Linked DNA regions of Macaca fascicularis. The protein of the gene in region 3 purifies or fractionates together with the protein of the main gene of each other region. This does not show direct contact. Links are inferred from orthologs where the notes say so. Each region holds a gene or a part of one and is shown on either strand. Other genes may lie near its edges.

Region 1 (6,487 bases), on a different chromosome or scaffold from region 3:
CTCCCTGTGCAGGGACCATTTTCCCGCCTCTGTTCCTCACCTTAAAAGGTGAAAAAAAAATATTCTAACTAAGATGATGTTGTACAGAACCAGCGGTACTGATATAATTGATGGGAAAACTCCAGAAATTGAAACATTCACTTTTAAGTATGTCTACAATAAAGTTATTATTTTTGCAAACTGTCTCCTCCTTAAAACCACTGGCAGAGAGAAGTTCTCTGAGCCCAGTAAAGGGGCAGGTGGGGGAGCGAGGGTGGCAGCACTACACCACAAATCTCCATTTTTGCCCTACAGGTGTGTGTTCTATTAAGGGCTGGAATCGCCTTAAGGGCCGGTGATCCAGCGGTGAAAAACTCGTTGTCTGTATTAGTTACCCAGCTTGGTGGCTTTCCACAAGAATCTGCAGCACATTTGAGACATGACTACCCTTTAAAATAAACGCGTCATACTGAACATTCTTCTGTATTTTATTTTTCCTAATCACATCTTTTCTAGGAAAGACTTGTAAACTTTTCATAAAATCCTCAAGTGCCACTTCCGACACCAAAGCCACTGCCTGGGACCTTAGCAGGGAGGTTGCCGTCCTTCCCCCTCGCCTTCCAGGTGAAACCAGGGGCTCGGCGAATGTGTCAGGAGAGGAAAACATCCAGAAGGCAGGTCAAGTCACACATGACAATGCAAAGCAGAAACAGTCGCAAATACAATAGAGGATAGGTTTTTGTTTCTTTTCAGGTTTTGCTCCAGAACATCACTGACTGGAAAATAAACGTCAGTCCCTACCTTTGTGGAACGTCCAACGCAGCTGGCTGGGGGAACACGAGGCCTTGCAGGGAGCGAGTCCCGGCCCCGGTCTGACTGAGCACAGGCGACGCACGTGAGGTCCAGGCCCTATCCCAGCGCAGGCGGGCCTCCAGCGACCCACAGTTGTCACATATCCGGCCAGCGCTGATTCCCGAAGGCGCACTCCCCATACCCCACTCCGAGCACCGGTCCCATCCTTAGGGAAGGTCCTCCTGGGTAGCAAGGCCGGGGCCCAGGATCTGCGAGACCCACCCCACCCGCCCCGCCAGAGCCCAGGAGCAGCAACAGGTCTGCGCTCTCTCCGGGCGGCGCTCTGCAGACCCTCGACCGGCCAGGGGTGTCCCCAGCCCAGCTGTGCGCTCGGGCCGGGGAGATGGGCGGAGGACTGGGGCTCCTGACTTCCTTGACAGTTTCTGCGCCTCAGAAACTGAGCAGACGCGGGGCCCGCGCCACCTCGCCCGCCGCTTGCCTCACTTCGTAAGGCTGCGCTTCCACCCGGGTCCGGGCGGGCCGGCCCGCTTCCCGGGGATGAATGGGGCTCCTCTCCCCAACAGCGGGGAAATCCCGCCACCGCCCTCCACCCCGGTCCCCCGAGCCCGCGGTGGCGCAGGTTTGCCCAGCAAGCCCCAAGATCGGCAGACAAAGGGGCACCAGAGGAAAAGCCGAGCTCTTCCATAAACTTACCGGTCACCTACCCCTCCCCAAAACAAAGGAGCCCCCCGCCGACCTCTGTCTCTCCCCGCAAGGCGCGCCGGCACTTTGGGGAGCGGCCACCTCGGGGTATTGTTCAGCCTCCTGGGAGCGCGCCGCACCCCAGTCCGAGCGCCACGGGGACAGTTGGCGACCTGCGCCTCCTGTAGTTCCAGGGGCGGGTGGAGCGTCCGGGCGCCCCGAGTCGCCGGCCAGACCCTGGAGGGTCAGCGCGGGAACCGCCTCCCCGCAGAAGTTTGCGGACCCCGCGCCCGGCCCGCCGAGCCCCGCGCACTCACCTCGCCGCGAACAGCGCAACTTGTGGCGGCGCCGCGCGCCCGGCCGCGCTCCGAACCTCCCTCCGGCCGGCAGCCTCCGAGCCCCGGCCGTGCGGCGGCCGAAGAGGGCCCGGCGCCCTGGAGCAGCCGCGCGCCGCCCCCGGGCCGCCCCCGCCCCGCCGCCGCCGAGTCCCGGAGAGGGCGCGGGCGCTGGAAAGTTTCGGTGGCGAATGGCGGCCGGAGGGCGCTGCGGCGGCGGCGCGGCGGGGGCGCTGGCGACTCCTCGCTCCCGAGCGCGGAGTGGGGCCGCTGAGCCGGGCGCGGCGGCGGAGGCGGCGGCGGCGGCGGCGGGAGAGGGCGGAACAGCGGGAGGGACTGGCACGGGCAGTGACCTCCGCGGGGAGCGGTCGCGAGCGCGCGGACCCCAACCAGGACTACCGCCAGGGGTCCGCCCCCTCCGCCAGCCCCTCCCTCACGGCCGTGGGAGGGCACCCGGCGTCCCACCCAGCCCCGCCCCTGAGCCCCGGGGGAGCCGCGTCCCGAACCAGCCCCTCCCCCACGAGGGTAGGGACTCCGGCCCTGCCCCTCCCCCGCGGCTCCTAGAGGGGACCCGCGTCCCAACCCAGCCCCTGCCCCACGGTCGGGGGACCAGCGTCCCTACCAAGCCCGCCCCGCTCCCCAACGCCTAGGGTGGGTGAGGGGAACCCAAGCCTTTCCCGAGTTGCTCCGGTCCCGGTCCCTTCCCCGTGGCCTCCGTGGGACTGAGAGGACCCCAGGGCTACCCCCATCACATCCCAAACCCAGCCTTTCCACGACTGCCTCGAGGGGACGGGAACCTCGGCCACCCCCTCTGTTTCGGGGGGGCAGGGGAACCTCGGTCCCTGCTAAAGTGTTACCCTCCCCCACCCCAATAAGGAAGCCACCCAGCTGCCCCAAGAGAACCCCCTGCCACCTGCCCGATGGTGAATCTCCCTCAAAATAAGCGTCTTAGAAGACACCCCAGTAGTCTTTACCCCACCTCAAAAAGTGGGGGCTCCGGCGGAGCCTCGACCTTTGCAAAACACCTCCCAGGAAGAGCCAGAAACGCTTAGGGACAAACTCAGACACACAAGCATAGGCGCCAGGAGCTCGGGTGTGGGGGCTGAGGAGGTTAGGGGGACCTGGGCCCTCGGGCCTCAGCACTCCCACCCCAACCCCCAGGCTTCAGCCCTCTGGGCCTTGCAAAGTGCTTAATGTTGCAATGGCTTACACGGCCTGGCCCCGGTGCACTTAAGTCCCCAGCGCTCCTTCCTCCCCTCCACGTAGGCTACTCCCCACCACTCGCGGCCTTAATTCAGTTAAACAGATCTCCACTCCCCCTCCCCAGCACCTCTGGGGTCAGCCTTGTTGAATATTTTTCAAATATTCTTGCCCCTTCCTTTACTATATAATGAGCTTCGTGCTAAGAGTCCGGTGCACTCAGCAATCTAAACTATAACCTTACTTGCTCTTCCTCGAACACTAGACCATTTGTTGTTCTGGTTGTGGGGGGAGGGGGACCCGAGGTGAGGTTTTTGTTTTTGTTTTTGTTTTTCTGAGACGGAGTCTCGCTCAGTTGCCCAAGCTGGGGTGCTGTGGCACGATATCGACTCACTGCAACCTCCACCTACCTCCCTGGTTCAAGCAGTTCCCCTGCCTCAGCCTCCGGAGTAGCTGGGATTACAGGCGCACGCCACCACGCCCAGCTAATTTTTTTGTATTTTTAGTAGTTTTAGTTTCACCATATTGGCCAGACTGGTCTCGAACTCCTGACCTCAGGCAATCCGCCGGCCTCGGCCTCCCAAAGTGCTGGGACTACAGGCGTGAGCCACCGCGCCCGGCCGGAGGTGAGTTTTTAAGAGGCCGGTCCTCCATCAAAAAGGCGGACCTCAAAATTACCCTGCAAAATATTGCCGTAAAACGTCAATGATGCAAAATGACTGTTGCTACACCATCATTAGAGGACATCAATAAAAAAAATACACACTTACACAGTCTCCATAATTGTGAATCAGCAGAATAGATTGTGTCTTATTACGTATCAGTTGCCATTCAAGGCCCCCCAGAAGGACTTGGTGGGGCCTTCCCTTGAGCCTGCCCTTCGTTGCTCCCGGGCTCCCTGGGCTTGTGCAGACTGATGCTGACTATTACATGCAATCGAAAAACGAAGGGTGCAATAGAAAACCCGAGCGAAAGAGCTCATGATGCAACCCTGCCCTGGCTACACGTGCTTCCCTTCCCCCACCGCCTGCTGGTGGGAGCGCTGCGTTTTTTCCGCCTGTAGGGTCACATTGTGGTTGATTGATTCTCCTTTCGCCTTGCTCAGTCATTCAGATTTGGAAAGTAAATAACAAGTTGACATCATTACAGCTCTGGGCTTTACGCGGACGCAGCCCTCGGCTACCGCACACTCTGGAGTAGCTGCGCAGCCAACCGGCCTCCTAGCTTGCCAGACCTGCTTGTGGTTAGCAACTGGAAATTCAAGCTAAACTTGGTTAAAAGGCCTCTTTGTGTGTTTTGATCACTTGGCAGATGCCAATCTTTTAAAGTATGGGAAAGTGGTGGAAATCATCACTCTCAAACTGGAGCACTGTGTGGCCAGGATTTATAGCTGATCTCCTGTAACTGACAAAGCAAAAGAGCTCAGAATTCATCTTGACTGGTTGGTAATAGCCCAATAATCCCACCGGCCTTATTACCCGTAAAGAGTCAATATCTTTTATCATAGATTCACAGGGCCCCAAAGGACACTGTAAGACCTAAGACAGGAAGAGAGACCGCCTACATTTATCATGAACTCACCAAAATTCCTCTTTTTGAAATGCTAGATGGGCTGTACGGTAGGTGATAATTAGACTGTGTTATTTAATCTGTTTCAACGATTTTTCAAATGTGCAGTCCTATAAGGTGGGAGAAAACAAGGAAATAAAGTACAGCCGGAAGGAGCTAGTGTATTCTGAGAAAGCTGAAGGATAACAGGGCGAGGGGTCCACAATGATGTACACAGATACCCACTGCACTAGCCATGTGCGTGTGTGCGTGTGTGTGTGTGTGTGTTGCAAACACTTATTTTCAGTTATTGACTGGAGGGAGGGGAAAACAAGAATCTGCTTGCAACAAATACCACCAGCATTCCCCATATACAGTACCCAAAATTTTAATTAAAAGGCAGTAGGAATTCACACAAATATACTCAACTAATCTTTCACAAAGGAGCAAAGGCAATTCATCCTTTTTAACAAGTGGTGCTGGAACAACTGGACACCCATATGCAAAAAAAAAAAAAAAAAAAATTCTAGACATAGGCTTTATATCTTTCACAAAAATTAACTTAAAATAGAACATACTCCCTAACATAAAAGGTAAAACTATAAAAACTCTTAGAAGATAACATAGGAGAAAATCTAGATGACCTTGGGTTTGGCAATGACTGTGTAGCTAGAACACCAAAAGCATGATGCATAAAAGAAAAAAAACAGTAAGTTGGGCATCACTAAAATTTGAAAAGTCTACAAAAGACACTGTTAAGAGAATGAGAAGACAAGTCACAGAATGGGAGAAAATATTTGCAAATTCCATATCTGATTAAGGATTGTATTTAAAATATGCAGGCCAGCTTAGTGGCTCACACCTGTAAAACTCTGCTTGAGGCCAAGAGTTGGAGGCTGTTGTGAGCTATGATCTCACCACTGCACTCCAGCCTGGGCAACAGAGAAGAACTTGTCTCTAATTTTTTCAAGTGTGTGTGTGTGTGTATATGTGTGTATGTGTGTGTACATATATATGTACATATGTGTATATGTGTGCGTGTGTATATATATAATTCTTAAAACTCCACGATGAGAAAATAAACAACTGAATCAAAGAGCAAACAATCAGAAAAAAATCTCATCAGAGATATACAGATGGCAAATAAGCATACGAGAAGATGCTGAACATCATGTATCATTAGGGAATTGCAAATTAAAATAACAATGAGCTACTACTACATACATTAGAATGGCTAAAATTCAGAAAACTGACAATCCCAGATGCTGACAGGATACAGAACAACAGGAACTCTCATTTGTTGCTATTGGGAATGCACAATTGTACAGCTACTTCAGAAGACAGTTCAGCAATTTCCTACAAAGCCAAACATAGTCTTACCGTACGGTCAGCAGTTGTGCTCCTAGGTATTTACCCAACTAAGTTGAAAACTTACATCCTCCAAAAACCTGCATGCAGAGGTTTATGGCACCTTTACTCATAATCACCAAACACTGGAGGCGACCAAAGTATCCTTCAATAGGCGAATGGACAAACAAACTGTGGCTCACCCACATAGTGGAATATTACTCAGCACTACAAAGAAATGGCCTATCAAACCCCCAAAACACAGAAGGGAACCTTAAATGCCTATTGCTAAGTGAAAGAAGCCAGTCTGAAAAGGCCATATACTGTATGATTCCAACCATATGACATTCTGGAAACGGCGAAACAGGTAAGACGATAATAAGATCAGTGGTTGCCAGGGGTTCAAGGAGGAGGAAGGGATGAATGGGTGGAACACAGTGGATTTTTACAGTGGTGAAACTACTCTGCGTAATACTGTGATGGTGGATACACGTTATTATACATATAAGTGTGTGTGTATATATACATTGGTCAAAATTCACAGAATGTACAACACAAAGAGGAAACCCTCACGTAACTATGGA
Region 2 (6,487 bases), on a different chromosome or scaffold from region 3:
AGCCACAGCATCCACCAAAGAAAGAAGGCAAGCAGGCTATTAAGCTGTTTAAAAATCTCCCCAGGTCAGCATGTGACCCAGCAGGGAGAGGTTCAAAAAAGTGCAGCCTTTCTTTTTCTTCCTAACAACCTGGTTTGTTTCCACTCCCTTCCCCTTCAAGACACATCCTTCACAGCTAGCAGCTCTTTCAATCATTTACTTTGGATGTCTGCTTGAGAACAAATGATCTTGCTCATGCAGATGAGTTTGCCAGACTTGTGTGTACTTTCCAGTCTCAGGCCCTTTACTGTTCTGGTTGAAACCTGATCCTCTGAAATGGATACCAGGACACCAGAAAATGAATTTTAAAAAGAAGAAGAAAAACAAAAAGTTGCAGGAAAGGGGGCAAAAAAGAAACAAAACAAAACAAAAAAAAAAACTACGAACTTTTCATGATCAAACTTTTTCCTCTGCTCTTTTGTAAGTCTGTCACGAAATTTTCTATCTTACATTACAAAGCAGCAACCCACCCTGGAAGGCAATCAATATAAAACACATATTAGGATTCACACAACAAAACATCCTTAATGGTATTACCTGATATGATAAATAAATGTTACACTTGCCTTAGGAGTAGACTGTCAAGACAGATCTGAATAAAAACTTACACTGTTTTTCACTTTATTATCTCAACTTGATTAAACACTATTAAGTGAGCTTTTTTAAAGACATCAATTTCGGTCTATAATAATTAGTTTTAGTCAACATTTTATATATACTTGATCCAAACAAGCCAGAAAAAAATTGAGGTCCTATCTGTAATTTCAAAATTAGAGGAGAGAAACTATTTAGATCTTTTCAGCCTAGTGCAATTTTGCCATTTTGTTAAACACAAAAAGACTGATAAAAAAATAAACAACCCAATGGTCATGTTTTTGTTTTCCCAGAGAGGAGGGTTTCTATTGTGAAGATCTACTAGCTTGAAAGAAGTTTGCCACTGAGAGACTGCGTATGAAACCTAAAAATTTACATTTCCCTTTACATTTTGGGGGGAAATATTGGTAAGTCACATCAAGCTTCAGTTGTAGTGCTTGTCATTTCACAATTTAAAATACTGTAAAATTAGACTCCCCCAAAAGCCCTACTTATTTTGTAGTTCTCCACCAATAAAATATTTATTTAAAAAGATACAAGTAGCACCACACGTACTTCATAAGATGCTGCTAGCCCTAATATTCTCAGAATTTGAAAATTTTCATGGTATTCTTTCTGTTTTGTGCTAGGCTAATTAACAGGTTTGGCACAAGCTCAAAATGAGAATAACCAAACTTCCACAAAAGAAAAGATTATAAAGAGGCTCAGAACCAAGACTCAGTAAAGCTCTCAAAATATTACCCATGCTAACAAAGGTATTTAGGTCACGCCAAACTTAAACATATACATGGGAGATATAACAGAGCTCTAGAGCTTAACATAAATATTAAAAAAAATAAAAACAAATGATATTCTGTATCTTGACACCACTTTACTGTGTCTTCCAATACATATTTTTCTTAGATAACTGTCTCCCACCATTATTTTCACTTACTTTAAGAAGTATCTCTGACCAGAAGATGTCTTTGCCATCTCCCAACCTGCTGGCAGAGGTACATCATCAGGTATCTCAAAAGAAGACTGTCGAAGATGCTGAGCTGTGGGTGTAGCTGCTGGACCAGAGACTACTCCAGTGGGGGTCAGTGTCCCAGGAGAAACAGCTCCCAACTGCAGAGAAGCTGGAGAGGAATGAGCTCGAACATGCTGTGGAGTCAGGGCTCCTGCAGTGCCTGCATCAGTACTGGCCTATTAGGAATATTAAGATGAAAAATTAAAAAAGAAACACAACTTTTTAGAGAGTCCCTTTAAATTTCCCAGTCAGTGCTTAATTGCAGCCGAGTATCTAAGTGCCAAAGGAAAATTTCAACATTTAATATTCGACACTAGAGAACACAGGTTTTCAAACGGATACTTTTAATATTATATAATTTTAATATGTTTTATATTTGTGCTTTTATTGATGAGCAGTCCATCTAATGAATTTCCACCTACTACACACCAGACATGTAAGGGCAACTAGTACTGAATGAATAAAACATTCCAAAAATAATAGTGAATTTTAAAACCTAATTTTTAAAAAGTCACTGCAGTTATGGGTGCTTTTCCAAGTTCTAAAATGTTCTAAGTATAAACACAACGCAAACAATATGCATTTTTTACTAGGTTTTAAGTAATTAATTTTTTTTTCTAGGTCAAGCCCAAGAAAAAACAAGCCCTCGTCATTTTTTCCCACCATGATAAAACGCCATCAATAAAGAAATCATAACAAATTACACAATTTTTAATGAAAGCAACAAATTTGAACTGCCCAAATGTTCTTAAAAGCCATCTACAATGAACAAGATGAAAAAAACTCAACTATATATTTGTATGTAGAAGATAATGAGGTTATCAGTCCAATTATAACTTAAGAACTCACAGACATTCACAACTCTATACAAGCAGAAAAAATTCTGCATTCAGACCCCAAAGATCTGAGTTCCAGTCTAAGCTGGCTAGTGTGACACTGAACAAGTATGTTAACTTCCATATGCCTGTTTTCTCGTTTGTAACATAGTTTTCAAGACAGAAAAATGGATGTATATAAAACAACTTATAGTCACCAGTTTGTGTTGTGAACAATAGTATTCACAACCTACATTCTACTATTCACAATCTTGCATAGTTTTTAAAATGTGTCTAATTAGAATTAAGAGTTTGATTATCAAAAAGTTAGAATTTCCTAGATTCACAAAGGTAAGGAAACCGGAAGGACTCAGTAGAGTCATTAATGCCTTAAAGTGATAGACCTTTCTGAGTGTCCCATCAGAATAAGTATGATTTAGAAAATCACTAGCAGAAATAAAAGTCCAATTTACAGATGAGCAACACTTAGTTAAAAACTTATTAAAAGCAAAACTGTAATAGTTTATGAATTTTAGAACTGCTGGATATAAATTCTTGTAAAAATTACCTACTAGAAGAAAAAGTACACTTTCCAGTTGTGACTCTTTGTCACAAAATGGGGGATCCAATCTATGTGTAGTATACTTTGAAAAAATACCGTGTAGTCTGCAGGGTGCATGCCAACACACATTTACTTACAATGAGTCCATAAACCAACTTCCAGGGGTAAGAAAAAAAGCATACCTAAGTCTATTTCTGACAAATTGAACTGTTTAGGCAAGCAGCTAAATTGTTTTTCCTTCCTTCCTCCTCCTTAACCCGGGTTTTTGTCATCAGGTTAAGTGAGTTTTTCTGAGTTCCAAAACCCTGTGGTCTCTGACAGAAGAATATACAACAGGCCCGCAAATAGGACAGAGGATGGGAGTGGGGGCGGTAACTCTTCTTTCCACTCAAGTTACAGCCCGAGTAGGCTAACTACATTGCAGTATTTGGAAAACCTATTAACTTTTGGGCAAAGTTCCTATGCTGAAGTTTAGCCTGAAGCAAGTTCTTTAAAAAAAAAAAAAAGAAGAAAAAAGAAAAGAAGGAAAAAGAGAGAACCCTACACTAAACAAAACCACTGGGACCTATCGGAATGTTAACACTCTCATTATAAATAGTTTCACTTCTATGCTGAATCAAGCTGGCAAAATAATCGAACGTTGTGTATGTGGAAAAGCAGCCATGTTCATATCCGCAATAAGAATTAAAAAGCAATGGCGATCCTAGAATTAGTCATCGCTTCCCAAACATTAACTTTTAATCACAGTTGAACTAGGCAGGACTTGGCCTATGAGTCAACCCGCAGTGTATTATCAAAGGCTTGTGTTAAAACCTCGGTACTGTAAAGCGCAACTCAGTTCCTGCGCAACGTACAGATGTGGCTAATTCAAAAGCTTTTCAGCCGACTGTAAATAATAGCCTACGATCGGGAAACCAACACGCAACCTACTAAGTTTGATAAGAGCGAGCCGACCCAAGTTCCAAGACACAAGGGAAGCGCAGGGGTGAAAGAACTCCATAAACAACTTCCAGGAAAGTCTGGGCAGGGGAAGCCCGAAACCTGTATTCAGAAATCGCCTAAGCCGCGAGGAAAATAAATGCTTACGGGAGGGGGAGGCAGAGGGGGAGGGGAAATGGGTAGGGGGGAGGGAAAGAAAGAGCAAAAAACTAAATGGACCGGTTCTACCCCCACCTCTAATCAACACTGGAAAACAAGAGAACAATTATTTGACTCCCCCAGGAGACTGAAGTGGACCGAGAGGCCGCAAAGGAAAGGGGCCCAGGGCTCAACTTCACAAACTCGGCCGCCGCTGGCAACTCACCCACACACAAATGCCAGAGGCCCCCCTCCCCCTTTCCCGGCCCGGCCCCGGCGGGAGCGAAGGTGCGGAGCGCGCGGAGGCGCGCGCATTGTGCAAGCCCACCGCGGCCCAGGCTCGGCTCTCCCCCACCCCCTTCCTTCCTCCCCACCCCTCCTCCACTCCCGCCAACCTCCCGGGAACCCCGGGAAGAAAGAAAGGAAGGAGGGAAAGCACGCCCCCCGGGGCCGCAACCGCAGAAAGAAACTCCGAAAGGAAAAACAAATCTCAGCCCCGGACTCTGGGAGGAGTGGGGAGCTGGTCACCGCGGCCGAGCGGACGACTCCAGTTCCTCCACTTCGCCGCGGGACCCCCACCCCAGCTAGAGCTCCCGCAACCCCCTCCCCTGGCCAGAGCTGGCGGCCGCGGCTCCCGAGCGCCCCCCCGGTCTGAGGCCCGCCCGACGGGGAAGCGGGGAGAGGGGCGACAAGGTTACCTGTCGGGAGTGGGATTTGGGCTCCGGCGGCTTGAAGAAGGAGTCGGGCAGCTTCCGGAGCCTCATAGGCACGGTCTGGGGCACGTTAGCCGTCTTGGGGTTCATGACGGCGTTGAAGAGCGCCTCCAGGTCGGTCTCCGAGTCCCCGCGGACGTGCACGATCTGATGCCCGGCGGGGGGTGCCTGCGGCGCCGCCTGGGTCGCCGCGGGTGCTGGCTGCCCGGGTCCGGACGGCGGGCCCTGCCCCTGGGGGGGCTGCGCAGGCGGCTGCCCTTGGCCCTGGGGGGCCGGTTGAGGCGGCGGCTGCTGCCCGGGATCCATGGCTTCTGCCTCCCCCGACGCGCACCCCCTAAACCAGGCGGGCGAGGGCTCCGCCCGGACGCCCCGGCTCCACAGGCCGAGGTGGAGAAGCGGCGACGGCTGCGGGCCGGGCGGTGCTGGGCGGCGGGAGCGACGCTCTCCTCGCTCTCAGGGCCGGGGGGCTGCGCCGCGGCCCCGCATCCCCCGCCCCGGCGCCTCCGCCCCCGCCCTGCGCCCCGGCTCCACTGGTCTGGCGGCTGCGCCTCGGGAGGGGCTGCGAGGGACTCGGACCTGCGGCGCCTGAGAACTTTTTCCCTCCAACTCCCTTGACGGAGGCCGGACAGCTCGTTGCCTTTCCCCTCCTCCCCCTTTCTCTTTTATTTCCTTTTCTTGTTCCTTCCTTCCTCCCTTTCTTTTCCCTGGCGGCGGCTGCGCCCGACTGAGACAGAAACTCGCCTCAGACGCCAAAACTAAAGTTGTGAGAAGCGCCCGCCCGCGCCGCCGCGGCCCCGCCTCCTCTCGGCTCTTCCTTCCTCTGCGCGCCCGCCCGCACCGCGGCCCGGCCGGCAGCGCAGGGAAACTTTTCGCTGCAAGTTGCTACATTCCTGCACACTCCCAGCCCTCCGCGCCTCTCCCGGTCGCACGTGACCCGCTCGCCCTGGTCCGGTCCGCCCTTCGCCCGCGCTCAGCCCGGCAGGGGCCCGGAGCGTGCCCCGTGTTCTACGCCGCGAACCACAAACGCTGGGTCCATTCCGAGGCCGAAGTGTGGTCTCTGCGGAGAACGCGGCCGCCCTTGGCCCCAGAAAGTCCTTCCGCCCCGCTCGGCTCCTTTTCCCGGCCCGTGCTCGGGAAAGGCGCTTCCAGCTCGCCTGGACTTGCGAAAGGACGAAGGCCGAAAGAAGTGGAGAGAGGATGTGCGAACCCACCTCCTCCTCCCCGCGTTACCCCGGCTTGACCGAGCGGAGCGCCAGTGCGGGCTTAAAGCCGCCAGGATAGATGGGAGTTAAAATAGATACGGTGAGCCGGCGCTGATGTTAATAAAGGTCCATTGTTTTCAGCATTAACTTTATTTTGTAATTCTGTTTCACTTATCTGTTAGTGTGCGAAAACTCACTTGAAAGGGTAAACGGTTACTGTAATTGAAGCTTTGAGACCAGGTCTGTGAGTCAGTGTAACTTAGTAAAAGAAACAAAAACACTACATTTTCTAAATAGTGAAATCACATCAACTGTTTTAGTACTCGAGTTTGCAACATAGTCACTGGAAGCCTCAACCCAAAAAAATCAGTGCTTCTTCAGGTACAAGCATTCATTCCTCTGTACCTGCCTTTCATCCTCAGGGAGCTGGGTGCCTACCCCTGCTATCCCTGTGCCTGGCCCAAGGGTGGACTCCG
Region 3 (6,387 bases):
GATTTCTTTGAGCAGAGTTTTGTAATTCTTATTGTAGAGATCTTTCACCTCCCTGGTTAGCTGTATTCCTAGGTATTTTATTCTTTTTGTGGCTTTTGTAAATGGGATTGCAATCTTGATTTGGCTTGTAGCTTGGATGTTGTTAGTGTACAGAAATGTTTCTGACTTCTGTACATTGATTTTTATATCCTGAAACTTTGCTGAAGTTTATTGGATCAAGGAGCTTTTGGGCAGAAATTATGGGGTTTTCTAGGTATAGAATCATATTGTTTGCAAACAGACTTCCTATTTGTATGCATTTTCTTTCTCTTGCCTGATTATGACCAGTGTTTTGCCCTGATATTCTGTATTCTCAGTGAATAGATATCATCTAAGTATGAGAAACAATTTTTTTCTATTCTGAGTATTTTTAAGGAGGCAACTTGTATGTGGTACTTTGTATCTTGTGTATGTTGGCAATTGGGGAAAAGAATAGATGGTTTGTACTAGGGCCTCTTGGAGTGTGTGTGTGTCATGAAAATACTCTTTAGCTACCTAGCATTTTTTCTCCTTTCAGTAACCCGCCTAACAACATTTACCCGGAATTTCAAAGCAAGCTTCAAATCAGTATTGAAAGAGGGAAAAATATAAAGGCATTTAATGGAAGGAAGTGTTGGGAGTAAAGTATAGGGCTGGCAACACTTATTTTTCCCACTTATTGAGAGTAATTTTACCTGGGATTTTATGAGAGAGAAAGACATTATGATTGCTCCAGGTAACTGCTGGCAGTGGAGCCATAGGCTTGGGGATAGACAAATGTGGCTGAGTTCATACAGAATGAGGGGATGTAAATTCTGTCAGCTGTTCCAGCAGTAACCTGTAATGTAGGCTAAAAATACAGATTTTGAGATTTATTTAGTCAGAATCCCTGGAGTGTTAATTTTTATATCAAGATCTCATAGTGTTTATTTGAAGTGACAGGGAGGTCTGTAGATAGCTGGACTTGTATGGGACCGGAAGCCTAGGAATTTTTTCTTCCAGGTTATTCTTATATTCATTTGTTTATTCTGAACATAGCATCTAATGTATTTTAAGAAATGGAATAGGCACATGGTATACATTGGGTAACACAACAGTGCTTGTTTTTATAGTCTTGTGAAGGTGACAAAAGTATTTAAAAATATGTGATCATAAATTAGAATGAGTGTTATGGGAGAAGTGAACAGCAAATAGTGATAAGAATTAATGGGGAGGGGAATTGTCTAATTAGATGAGAGGGAAAGGGTCTCCTTGAAAAGGGGATAAGTGGGACTGCAGGATGAGAAGGAACCTTTCTCTTGTCTGTATGAGAAGTGAGGGTTAAATGTTTTCCAGGTAGAGAAAAGGAACACCATGTGCTGTGTCTTTAGAACCAGGGGTATCCAGTCTTTTGGCTCCCCTGGGCCACATTGGAAGAAGAGTAATTGTCTTGGACTACACACCAAATACACTAATGATAGCTGATGAGCTAAAACAAACAAACAAAAAATTGCAAAAGAATCTCATAATGTTTTAAGAAAGTTTACGAATTTGTGTTGGGCTACATTCAGAGCTGTCCTGGGCCACGTGGCCCATGGGCTGCAGGTTGGACAAGCTTGCCTTAGAAGGAAAGAGATTGTGGAGATCCAGGTGCTGAAGAGAAGGTCTGTGTAAACAGAACTTAGTAAGTAATGAGGTGGATGGCCTGGTATGAGGTTGAGGTTAGGTAAGCAGAGCCATAACATGCAGGACTTTCTAGGTTCCTATAAGATGTTTACTACTCATGGAGTTTATTCATGCTTTATTCCAGCTTTGGAGCCATAGATACAGAATACTTGGTCAGTTTGGAAGGCTAGGTGGGATCCAAATTCTAAACGGTTTCTCGGGGTTATACTAAAGTATTGTCTGCTATCTTAAAAGGATGCCGAGACACTTTTGATGGTTGTTGATCAATAGCAAAGCATCACAGTGGTGTGTTTAAAATATTAATAATAGCATTGTTTAGATTAACAGTTTGAATGACCAAAAGGTAGAAGACCAGACTGCTGAGATGTTATAGGCTTTTAGGAATCAAATAGTTTGGTTTTAGAACTAAATAGCTAAGGGCAAATGTCTGAGATGTCTGAAAGAATCACAGAATGTAATAATATAGGAGCTAAGGGAGCAACCAAAAATGGTTTGTGGAGGGGACAGTATTGGTACCATGAAGATAAATGGAACCCTCAGAAGGCATCCTTAATTTTTGAACATAATAATTTAAGAAGCTGACTTAGGCCGGGCGTGGTGGCTCACGCCTGTAATCCCAGCACTTTGGGAGGCTGAGGCAGGTGGATCACCAGGTCAGCAGATCGAGGCATCCTGGCTAACACGGTGAAACCTCGTCTCTACTAAAAATACAAAAAATTAGCCATTTAGCCAGGCATGGTGGTGGGCGCCTGTAGTCCCAGCTACTGGGGAGGCTGAGGCAGGAGAAGGAGAATGGCATGAACCCGGGAGGCGGAGCTTGCAGTGAGCCAAGATCGCGCCACTGCACTCCAGCCTAAGCGACACCATCTCAAAAAAAAAAAAAACAAAAAACGAAGCTGACTTAAAGTGACTAAAAGGTCAGTAGGTAGCTGGAAATGTAAGGTACTAGAGAATGCAAGAGAGACAGGCTAGAGATTTGGAAGTTTCCCTTTTAGTATATAGGGGTAAGGGCAGCAGGGAACGGGAGATAGAGATGCCACAGAGTCATCTGCATGGGACTTTTTTTACCCTAGAACTGCTGAAACAGAATGTGTGTGTTTTAAAGTCTCTGTAGGCCATTCTGATGGACATCTGGGGTTAAAATCCATTCTCAGAGTTAATAGTTATGTAAAGGGAGGGAATGAAGTCTTAATGAGGGGAAAGAAGGTAGTCATTTCACAAATACTGAGCATCCTGAGTATCAATCTTATGCAGATCCTTCTATTAGTAGCTGGAGCTACTATGAAAAAGGAACCCAATAGAGGTGATCTTTGTCTTGTAGGGAAAGTGGACTAACTTATACTATGAAGGAGAAGTGCAGGGTACCGTAAGAATTACAGCAAATAGACTTCATCTGAGGAAATAAAACAGACCTAAAAGATGAAGGAGACAAGGAAAAGTATCTCTTACTGCATTTAGAAGTGGTTTAAGTTGAAGATGGAGGGGTGAAGTTAATCTAGTATGTGGGCATTGGGTTTCCATTTATACTCCTTTGCCAGAGTAAATGTCCCCCATTTAAGGGTCCTAAAGGATTGGAAGGTCGTGAACCTTGGAACACATGTATTGCAGTCAGTGAACTGTATAAAGTCCCTGGCAGTAAAGTGTTTTCATGCCGACTTTCTGGATTGTTCTTACCCCAGAAATTTACCTAGCTTCTTTAGGTCTTTAGTCAGATGTCACCTTCACAGTGAGGTGACCTAATTACTTAAAATTGCAGCCCCACTCCATTGTTTTTCTCCATAGCCCTTTAATATCATCTGACCTACTGTATGGTTTTAGTTTATTGTATATTTGTTGTCTGCCTCTTCCAACTAGATCATAAGTTCTGAGGGTAGGAACTTTTGAATATTTTTGCTCACTGGTCTATCTCCAGCTCAGAACAGGACCTGATAGTGAATAAATATTTTTGAAATGATTGAATGGATGAAAAGAAATTAATAAGAATATTACCGCTGGGCGTGGTGGCTCTCATGCCTGTAATCTCAGCGCTTTGGGAGGCCAAGGCAGGCGGATCACAAGGTCAGGTGATCGAGACCATCCTGGCTAACATGGTGAAACCCTGTCTCTACTAAAAAATATAAAAAATTAGCCGGGTGCCTGTAGTCCCAGTTGCTCGGGAGGCTGAGGCAGGAGAATGGCATGAACCCGGGAGGCAGAGGTTGCAGGGAGCCGAGATTGTGCCACTGCACTCCAGCCTGGGCGACAGAGCGAGACTCCGTCTCAAAAAAAAATATATTACCTAAGGGGGATAGTGGAGATAACAAAGACTTCTTCGGCTTAGGAAAGGAACAGTAGCTATTTGACAATTTGTCACTAGTGATGTGAACTGGCAAAACGAGGGAAACTGAGCAACATTCTAGAAAATGAGAGGAAAACAAATACTTAGGTAAAAGGAAGTAAACTCTGGAAATAAAGAAGGACACCTTCTAAGACTAGAAAATATATTTAGGATTGATAGCAACTTCTAGCTAATGACTAGGGTCTTACATCCTTTTTAATTTTCTAGGTGGAATGCAAGCTTTAGGACTTCACCTGACAGATCCAAGTCAACGTCTTGTTCAGAACTGTCTTTGGACTCTCAGGAATCTTTCAGATGCTGCAACTAAACAGGTAAATTCTGAGTAAATTGACGCCATGGGAATAGAGTCAAGATGAGTATGTGCTTGTACTGACCATTTGTTTTTATCTTCATAGGAAGGGATGGAAGGTCTCCTTGGGACTCTTGTTCAGCTTCTGGGTTCAGATGATATAAATGTGGTCACCTGTGCAGCTGGAATTCTTTCTAACCTCACTTGCAATAATTATAAGAATAAGATGATGGTCTGCCAAGTGGGTGGTATAGAGGCTCTTGTGCGTACTGTCCTTCGGGCTGGTGACAGGGAAGACATCACTGAGCCTGCCATCTGTGCTCTTCGTCATCTGACCAGCCGACACCAAGAAGCAGAGATGGCCCAGAATGCAGTTCGCCTTCACTATGGACTACCAGTTGTGGTTAAGCTCTTACACCCACCATCCCACTGGCCTCTGATAAAGGTAAATTGTCAAAGTAGAATTTACCTTTGTTGCAGAATTGAAAATGAAGCATCTCTAGCCGTTGGATGGCTAAGCATAGTGATCAATAAATAGGAATTGTATTCGTTAGTAAGTAGGAAGTATGGCTGCGATAGGGGTAGGATTCTGAAATGTTTGTGTAGTCAGAACTACTTTTAGTTGTTCCCAATAGATTTATTGTGGTGGGAATTTTAGGCTAAGAAAATGATTGTGTTGAGTTGTATGCCAATTCTTCCTTCTGTTTTTCAGGCTACTGTTGGATTGATTCGAAATCTTGCCCTTTGTCCAGCAAATCATGCACCTTTGCGTGAGCAGGGTGCCATTCCACGACTAGTTCAGTTGCTTGTTCGTGCACATCAGGATACCCAGCGCCGTACGTCCATGGGTGGGACACAGCAGCAATTTGTGGTGGGTAAATTCTTATAGTGATACCTGGCTGTCTAAAAGGAATGCATAGATCCAAAGATCTGAACTTCTTTGGTCATTTGTTCTCCCCGTCCCTTTTCCTGAAGAGCTGATGACAAAATATGACTGCAGAGAAGATAAGGCATAGTGTGGCCCCAGTGATATTTCCTTGGACACGTCCTTCACATGGTCAGTCTTACAAAGGTTGGGTTAGGCATTTCATGTAGTGTTCTCATTTAATTTACACAAAGGCCCACTTAGGAAGAGGTAGAGTCATAATTTGAGACCAAATCTGTGTAATTTCAGAGCTTCTTACCCTTGCCTCATCATAAATTTTGACAATAAATATTTAGCAGTCCATTTTATTATCTTTTCTGTGAGTTAAACTTTTTTCATGGACCTAAGAATATAGTATAGACATACTTCAAAAATAAGTAGTAGCATTTCTGTACTCTTAACCACAATAGTCTCAACCTGAAGCTTTGATACAAAGTTTGAGTCTTAAAAGTAGCTTCATTAAAAGTATAGTCTGAAGATACTTCTGATTTCTCAGACTTTAAGACCTTATTTAATTAGGTTAGTTTAGAAAACAAAGATGGAGCCTACCAGAACAGATTTTAGGAATCTCATTTTGCTGGTTGCTTTGTGTATGTACTCATACTGGGGCTTTGGCTTGCTTCATTTATTACTGTTGGTATTGGCCCATCTCCATGAGGTGACTTAATAGAATGTTGAGGGAATCTTTTATTTTAAATCTCTTTTCTAGGAAAAAAGGAGTTTTTGTATCCTTGCAAGAATCAAATTATTTATAAAAGCTGCTAAATGTAGCAGAATCATAACCCCTTTTAAAACTCAAATCCAGAAACAGGAGAAACAGATGGTACTTAAATATTGCAAAAGCTAACTTCTCCTATACATGAGACTGTCAGCTGAATAGTCTTGGAAGAGTGAGGAGTGGATTTTTCTGCTGGCAACTCAGTTAGTTTTAGCAGTTGGTGCTAAAACTTGGCAAAGTTTTCACCAAATACATGGAAGATGTACAAAAATAGAGGGGGCATGTAAAGGAAAAACGTTGACATAGTCTGAGCATTACTTTCTCATCTTCTCTTTTTATATACCTTTTACTCAGAATGATTGGTGCCCTTACTGTAGGAAAGTTGTCTTCGGGATTCAGTGCTATGTGGAAGCTCTGTTGCACTGTGTATGGGG

The links.
Region 1: the proteins of CTNNB1 (region 3) and TBL1X purify together in Homo sapiens (affinity purification with western blotting; 4 studies listed by BioGRID). This does not show direct contact. The link is inferred for Macaca fascicularis from reciprocal best matches to the Homo sapiens genes CTNNB1 and TBL1X.
Region 2: the proteins of CTNNB1 (region 3) and YAP1 purify together in Homo sapiens (co-immunoprecipitation; 11 studies listed by BioGRID and IntAct, with this or other methods). This does not show direct contact. The link is inferred for Macaca fascicularis from reciprocal best matches to the Homo sapiens genes CTNNB1 and YAP1.

What each region holds. Positions count from the first base shown.
Region 1 is NC_088395.1:9,142,401-9,148,887, reverse strand, and holds the start of TBL1X (F-box-like/WD repeat-containing protein TBL1X), read right to left. Parts: upstream 4,002-6,487; 5' UTR 3,779-4,001; intron 2,229-3,778; exon of another isoform or gene 1,791-2,228; intron 1,224-1,790; exon of another isoform or gene 781-1,223; intron 1-780. UniProt on the Homo sapiens protein: F-box-like protein involved in the recruitment of the ubiquitin/19S proteasome complex to nuclear receptor-regulated transcription units. Plays an essential role in transcription activation mediated by nuclear receptors.
Region 2 is NC_088388.1:101,116,967-101,123,453, reverse strand, and holds the start of YAP1 (transcriptional coactivator YAP1), read right to left. Parts: upstream 5,116-6,487; coding exon 4,795-5,115; intron 4,417-4,794; exon of another isoform or gene 3,950-4,416; intron 1,819-3,949; coding exon 1,568-1,818; intron 1-1,567. Other genes in the region: uncharacterized protein, read left to right, coding at 5,114-5,342, 5,400-6,049. UniProt on the Homo sapiens protein: Transcriptional regulator with dual roles as a coactivator and corepressor. Critical downstream regulatory target in the Hippo signaling pathway, crucial for organ size control and tumor suppression by restricting proliferation and promoting apoptosis.
Region 3 is NC_088376.1:104,075,417-104,081,803, forward strand, and holds part of CTNNB1 (catenin beta-1), read left to right. Parts: intron 1-4,228; coding exon 4,229-4,332; intron 4,333-4,416; coding exon 4,417-4,755; intron 4,756-5,022; coding exon 5,023-5,181; intron 5,182-6,387. UniProt on the Homo sapiens protein: Key downstream component of the canonical Wnt signaling pathway.